2 linked regions of the Callithrix jacchus genome follow. The protein of the gene in region 2 purifies or fractionates together with the protein of the main gene of each other region. This does not show direct contact. Links are inferred from orthologs where the notes say so. Each region holds a gene or a part of one and is shown on either strand. Other genes may lie near its edges.

Region 1 (3,812 bases), on a different chromosome or scaffold from region 2:
AAGCTAATATGATTAAATGACAGTACCTGGACCATAATATTATCACTCGATGCAGCTTCTTGGGCTTCATTGATCCAGCGCTTAACCACATCATAGCTTATCTTCATCATGTGCTAAATACAGGGAAAAAAATGAAAATAAATAATGCATGGTCACTAGAAACTTAGAAACATGAGTTAGTTTTTTTGAAAAATCAGTAACAGACATTTCCCAGGAGAAAGAAAACTATGTAGCTCTTATAAGTATATTTTGTGTCTCTATTGCTAGGGCAACTGATAAATCATAAGTATTTTCTTCTATACCCTTTACAAAGGTGAGTATATAGAGGTGTGTAAAAGGAAGTAATGAAAGAGGAAGAACAGGATGAGGATGGTGCTTAAATAACGTTATCATTACAAGCTTTACTTCTAGGAAACTCCCCTGGAAGAAAGAAAAAGAGTATTAATATATTCTCTGCTATGAAACTCAACCAATTATCTTCCAGAATCAGAAACTCTTGTGATTTAGATGTCTTACACATTCACACATATGTAACTGACATTAATCAAATGCAATGTGATAGGTTTTAATGTATAAACTGTGTTCTGTTGAAAAACTGAAAGAAAAAAATTACTAAAGAAAAGACTACTTCCTCGCAGAAAATTCAGAGGTGGGGCAGGAAATTTTGAAGGATACACATAGACAAAGGGCACCAGAAAAAGCAGAGGACAAAGGGCACCAGAAAAAGCAGAGGACAAAGAGACAAGTAGTGGAAGTCATAAAGGCAAGTCATAAAGAAGATTTTAAATAAAAGGGCCCTAGGTTTCTTCCCTGTCCCATACCCCACACTTACCCCGCTTTTATTATGTGTACAACATAACTTTCAAATTTCTAAAACCTTTCAAACATATGACAATTTTATGTTTTTAATTCTTCAATGATCCTCTAGATCAGCAACCTCCAACCTTTTTAGTACCAGGGATTGGTTTTATGAAAGACAATTTTTCCACTGGCAGAGGGAGGAGGGATAGTTTTGGGATGAAACCATTCCACCTCAGATCATCAGGCATCGGTTACATTCTCATATGAAGTTGGCATTCTAGATCCCTCACATGCACAGCTCACAATAGAGCTTGCACTCCTATGAGAATCTAATGCTGCTGCTGATCTGATGGGGGCAGAGCTCAGGCAGTAATTAATGCTCACTTGCCTGCCGCTCACCTCCTGCTGTACAGCCCAGTTCCTAACAGGCCACTGAACAGGACTGGCTGAAGCCCTGGGGTGGGAACCCCTTCTCTAGATAAAACAAACTTGGATAAAGTAATAGAGGTGTATACATATTTTTAACTGTCTCATTTGTGAGAGAATCATAGAGATACTTTATTTTTGCAACTAGAAACTGTACCATCCATAAGAACTAGGAAGCTGCTAGCTCACTTACTAGGGAAGATACCAGTGCTGAACTGGATACACTGGAAACTTTATCCACAATGGCCTGCTTCATATATCTTTCGATGGCTTGCAACATTGTTCCCTAATAACATTCAAAAAGAAAAAATTGTTGAGGAAAAACATTTTTATGCAAATTACTATTAATGCTTCAAAATAATTTTCAAAAACTAATCATGTATTTGTTTCTGTGCAATTTCATTTAGAATGCACTAAAAGGATAATGTAGTAATAATATCCCAAAGGGTAGAACCGAAACAACTAAGTTGAAGCTTTAGGAAAGAATATTTAAGATTATATGTAAAGAAGAGTAACTGTTCAATGATGAAATAAACTGTCTCAAAATGCAGAATCTCTGTTTGGAAGAAATACACAAGTAGAGGCTGAACCAATCAGGTATGTTATAAAGAAATTCCTATAGGCAGATGGAGCCTGCTTTTGAAGTTATGAAGATTCCTCTATGTGAAGGGCACATATTACACATAGATCCCAGAGTCCTAGAAATCAAAGGTAATATCTGATTATCTTAGATACATAAAGAATTAAATGTATAGTATATTACTATAGTGAGCCCTCAGCGTGAAATCCTCTGGAAATACTGTTCTTTTTAAATGGGAAAAAGCACTGGGGAGGTGGTGGCGACAAAGATGAGTAAAAAGACTAAGAGCAATATTCAAATGAAAAAAAGAGTTTTATTGCTAGCACTAGCATGGTCAAGTCTCATGCTGCTACCAATTTAATGCTAAAAATAAATAAAAACAACCACAAGAAAACAACAGTGCAGCAAAAAATATTAAAGCATTTCTATTACTCCTTTTAAGATCCAGATTTACCAAATGTATAATGTGGTCCTGCTCAACTTTTAAAACTTGAGAAGGTTACAAACATACACCTAAAATATAACCAAGCATGAGTATATAGTTATTACTCAATTTGCTTGGTAATGCCTGGCCTGCGCTTCCTTCTCAGAGTTTTCAGAAAGAGAAGAGACAGCCTAACATATTACATGACCTCATCTCTCCAGATACAATGAACTGGATCAACATTAAACACCTGACTCAGACACAAGTGGATACAAGCTACTGGCCTATTGCTGGCTAGTCAGATTATCACTCTTAAATATTTGTACGAGAGGGCCTGTGTCTCATACATGATGGATCACCACAGTAAATGGCCTGGCCAATATAGTGAAACCCCATCTCTACTAAAAATACAAAAATTAGCCAGGTGTGGTGTGGGTGCCTGTAATCCCAGTACTTGGAAGGCTGAGGCAGGAGAATCACTTGAACCTGGGAGGCGGAGGTTGCAGTGAGCCAAGATTGCATCACTGCACTCCAGCCTGGGCAAAAGAGCAAGACTTCGACTCAAAAAAAGAAAAAAAAATTTGCTGTTGAATTCTTAAAGCTGCCCAATTTCTTGCACTGGTCTAGTTGTAAGCTTTACCTCAAATTCTGAGAGATTTGTGTCCTATAATAAAGCTTTTTCTTTTAAGATAAATTTGAATGGGTTTTTGTTTCCTGCAAGCAACGTACCCTCACCACAACAGTTCAAGAGGGCAAATAAAGTGAGAAAATGGACTAACATAAATACATGAAAGGAAAAAAATCTGAAGAAAAAAGAAAGCCCGGAGCCACAAAATCCTTTCTGGTGATCATGTTTCTCTTATACTGAAGATTCACAAAGTCAATCTAGGAAATCCTACTCAGTCTACATGGCCACTCACAGATAAGCAGAGTGTTCCATTTGATAACTCAGTGAAACAGAGAACTTACATCAGTGATTCTGCAGAGAGCCCTGATGGCTGGGCCTCGGTATACATCTTCTTTTCCAGTCATGTCCTTAGTCAGACTAAGAAAAATCAAATTGGTTAACATAAGATCAATTAAAATCTCTGCCACGGAGTTCACCCCTAGCCAATTTCCAATTGTCCCATAATTATCTTAATGCAGCTACTGATTCAACAAATATTTAGGGAGCATATTCTTTGTATACGTGCTAAGACTACTGTGTAGAAGACTGTTCTAACTCAACAATATAGCAATGAGCAAAATTAGCAAAAGGCGAAAGTCCTTTGCCTTCATGGAACTTACATTCTAGGAGGAAGAAAGATTATCACATAAACAAAACAACCCCTTCCCCATAATTTTAGATACTGATAACTGGCATAAAAAATAAACTAAGGACAATGGAATAAAGAGCCCTAGTAGTCTGACATATGCCCTAATCCTAAAATTCCATCAGACTAGACACAACTTTTGAAAAGAAATCAACAAGAATAATTAACTCATGACGTACCTCTCCTTGGCGTAGCTTTCTAAAATTATCAATGGCTTCAGATCTTTCTGCTGAGCTTCAAAAACAGGCAGAGGTGTGAACTGAGCTAC
Region 2 (3,812 bases):
TCAGATTAAAAATGAGTCACAGGACCCTGAATCCTTGATCCTCTCTCTCTCCTTCTCTGGTTCTTGACCCACTGAAGGATCTAATGATGCCATCATCCTCTAATTGCCCTGCAGGTGTGAGATTTTAATTGCAGCACCTAGGACTTTGTTCCCACTCACTCAGCACCTTACTCAAACAAGTTGGAGAAGAAACACAATATGTTTTTTTCTCACCTGTCCAGAATGAGATTTGGAGCAAAGATGAGCTTGCCGGGGTGGTCAATTGAGCGCCACATCAGCCCCACCATTAACACCTCCAACCAGCAGCTCTCCAAGAGCCGCACTTGGTCCAACAGGCTGAGCTCCACAAAGCCTGGGGAAAGTAAAAGGTAGTGAGACACCCCCACCCCTCCTCCTCAGCTCCCTGTTTCTGTAGAGATAGAATGGCAAGTGTTAAAACACTAAGAAAACAGAAACCATTAGGGAATCAATATTTTATAGATGTGATTAACTGCTCATTAAAGGAAGAAAACTTTTAAGTTAAGCTGCGCAACCGGTTTCCAGTCTTGGACCCCTTCTAGAGACATCATTTGGAGTTTGTCAAGCACTATGACCTGGGCTCAGAACCAACTGTCGTTAGCTGCGTCCTGATCATTCCTCTGCGCTACTGAGAAGGTTAATGTTTGGCTGCCAGTCAGAGGAGCTGCCTGTCTGACCCAGTCCTTGACTGGGATCAGAAGGCGCTGGGGAATGCGGTAGGTGGAGGCTGCAGGTGGAGGCATGCAGACAGCAGTGCCAGCCCGCACAGAAAGCCAAGGACTCAACAGCAAGGATTTCTCTGATTGCTTAAAATCTCCCATCCAGTGTTAGGATCCTTCTTCTAGGTAGAAGCACTGTTTCTGGGTGATTCTATCCTAAACAGCAAACATAGCCCAGGCACAGTGAGGCACAACTGTAATCCCAGGACTTTGGGGGGCCAAGGTAGGTAGATTGCCTGTACCCAGGATTTGGAAACCAGCCTGGCCAACATGGGGAAACCCCATCTCTACAAAAAATTACCTGGTCACGGTGGTAGGTGACTGAAGTCCCAGAAACTCTGAAGGCTAAAGTGGGAGGATGGCTTGAGCCCGGGAGGTCAAGACTGCAGTGAGCAAGATCACACCACCACACTCCAGCCTGGGCAACAGGGTGAGACCTTGTCTCAAAAAAATAAATAAATAAATAAAGAGCAAATATGGCCAGGTACAGTGGCTCCTGCCTGTAATCCCAGCACTTTGGGAGGCCAAGGCGGGAGGATCATGAGGTTAGGAGATCAAGACCATCCTGGCCAACATAGTGAAACCTCGTCTCTACTGACAATACAAAAAAAATTAGCTAGGCATGGTGGTGCATGCCTGTAATCCCAGCTACTTGGGAGGCTGAGGCAGAAGAATTGCTTGAACCCAGGAGGCAGAGATTGCAGTGAGCCGAGATGGCGCCACTGCACTACAGCCTGGGCGAGATGCAAGATTCTGTCTCAAAAACATAATAATAAAAAGCAAATATAACGAAGCAGGTCCTGACAACCTAATAACACATGTTGGTCACAATACTGATTGAAAACAGGTAACCTCTGGGGAGGGGAGCACTTTAAAAAAAAGCATAGAACACCGGGGCTTCCTCCACAAGCCATGATAAAAGGAGAGGACCATGTAATAGAAATATGGTAACAAAAGACAGAGCATTGGCATGAAATGGACTCTGGTTTGAATCCCAGCTCAGCCTCTTGCTAGCTGGTCACTTAATTTCCCACTAAGTCTTTGTTTTTCTTATAGGAAAATGGGGATAATAATGCCTATCTCTGGGAATGTCCTATAGGCAGGATCTCTTACCATCCTTATTTTACAGATGAGGATGCTATGGCAGAGAGAACACATGTGGTTCAAGTCTTGGAACAATTATAGTGCCAATTTGCATAAAGGAGAATTTCATGGTGTTATGAATGTAAAGATGGATAAATACTTTCTAAATCCACATGCTATGCTCAACTTAGGTTCCTAATGTGTATACACCTTCCCAATCTCACCCACAGTGATAGACAATAGCCTACCCAAGAGAGATCACGGTTCTTAATCTTGTAGATATTCAACAAAATTAGGGCTAGATGATAACTTTTTTGTTTGTTTGGACAATGACTATGCCAGCTAGGAGAGGGGGGAAAAATCACGCCTTCAGACTATGCCTATGTTTCCCAAAAATTTTTAAAAACACCAGGTTTAATAAGGAATAATGCAGCTGAAAAGTTCAGATTTCTTATGGCACAAAGAAGGGGCACAGCTTTCAGTAATAACTAATTTCACCACTGCTCTCCATGTGTGGTCCTGCAAAACTGTGTTTGGAATACATTTAAAGCAAAAACTAGAGCAAAGTGCATCAGCACTGTCTCCTCTGGGAAAAAGCAGAGAAAATAAAGTAATTCTGGCAAAGGTGAAGATGCTAGACAAAACAAAATACAACTAGAAACCAAAAAATCCTCAGGAAGCTCAGAAGAAATGGGCCCAGGCCAACAAAAGTCCCCAAGTGATACTGTCACTGTAGGCCTCAGTTCCCCGGGCTCTTTACCTGGAACTGCTCTCCCCCCAGCTTCTCACCCCTCCTCATCTTTACATTTGCCCAGTACACTTGCTGCTCTCCAGGCCATGGGAATGTCCCCAGTGGCTCAGAACTTGTAAGAGACTTCTTTTCTTCAAGGACTGTAAAGAAGGGCATGGGGAAGCTTTCACAGGGGGATTGTGGGGTGTTGCCATTCTAGGTTAGAATCCTAGATTCACTCCTCCACAGAAACACCAAGTCAAATGATAATTGGCTGGTAATTTTAGCATCATACAGCCCTTCAGGTATATATTACAAATGGGCTTGGGAGAAGTGATCATTTTAGAGGATGGAAAATGCAGGTTCCAAATGATAACTCACGAGTCACTAAGCTCACTTTTAACTCAATGGCATTCCAAGTTTATGGGCCCATTGAGGATTCATGTAACTGATTTACTCTATTTGTCCATACATACTTATTTATGTACATAATATTGATTCTCTATTGGAATAATAATTTATAAAATTCTATTTAACATCTGACAAACCTTTCACTTCCAAACCAGTCATACTGCACCCTGCCCCATCCTATCTAAACATGCCCCTCCTCTCAAGGTGAGGAGTCCACAGCCAAAGGACAGGTCAATGTGGAGCCCAGCTTTTTAATTAATTAATTAGTTATTATTATTTTAGACAGAGTCTTGCTCTGTTGTGATCTCGGCACTACAACCTCCGCCTCCTGGGTTCAATCGACTCTCCTGCCTCAGCCTCTCAAGTAGCTGGGATTACAGGCATCTGCCACCATGCCTGGCTAATTTTTGTATTTTTAGTAGAGACAAGGTTTTGCCATGTTGGTAAGACTGGTCTTGACAGCTGACCCTGTATTCCGTCCTCCTCGGCCTCTCAAAGTGCTGGGATTACAGGCGTGAGCCACCACGCCTAGCTGAGCCCATCATTTTAACCCTGTTCCAGGTTCCAGGACCCTAGGATTTCTTGCCCAAATGACCCCAAGCCCAATTTCAGAGCCTGGGTGGGTTCCCTGGGTCCATCCTCCCAGACCACCTCTAGGCATGAAAGGTGGCCAACAGGTGTCTGTAGCAGACATGGACACATAGGATGGGGTTTGTGCAAGGAAGGTAGTATGGGATGCATCTGTCCATGGGAAAAGAAGGGAGTCAAGAATAGAAACGGCTGGGTGACAGCTCTTTCTGCACTACCATGTCTGGTACTGAACTTAGAGGAGTCTTAGAATTCTAAATCGG

What was found.
Region 1: the proteins of ESR2 (region 2) and COPG2 purify together in Homo sapiens (affinity purification with mass spectrometry; 3 studies listed by BioGRID and IntAct, with this or other methods). This does not show direct contact. The link is inferred for Callithrix jacchus from reciprocal best matches to the Homo sapiens genes ESR2 and COPG2.

The regions. Positions count from the first base shown.
Region 1 is NC_133512.1:116,631,214-116,635,025, reverse strand, and holds part of COPG2 (coatomer subunit gamma-2), read right to left. Parts: intron 3,277-3,812; coding exon 3,201-3,276; intron 1,514-3,200; coding exon 1,421-1,513; intron 904-1,420; exon of another isoform or gene 833-903; intron 114-832; coding exon 27-113; intron 1-26. UniProt on the Homo sapiens protein: The coatomer is a cytosolic protein complex that binds to dilysine motifs and reversibly associates with Golgi non-clathrin-coated vesicles, which further mediate biosynthetic protein transport from the ER, via the Golgi up to the trans Golgi network.
Region 2 is NC_133509.1:98,920,615-98,924,426, forward strand, and holds part of ESR2 (estrogen receptor beta), read right to left. Parts: intron 353-3,812; coding exon 214-352; intron 1-213.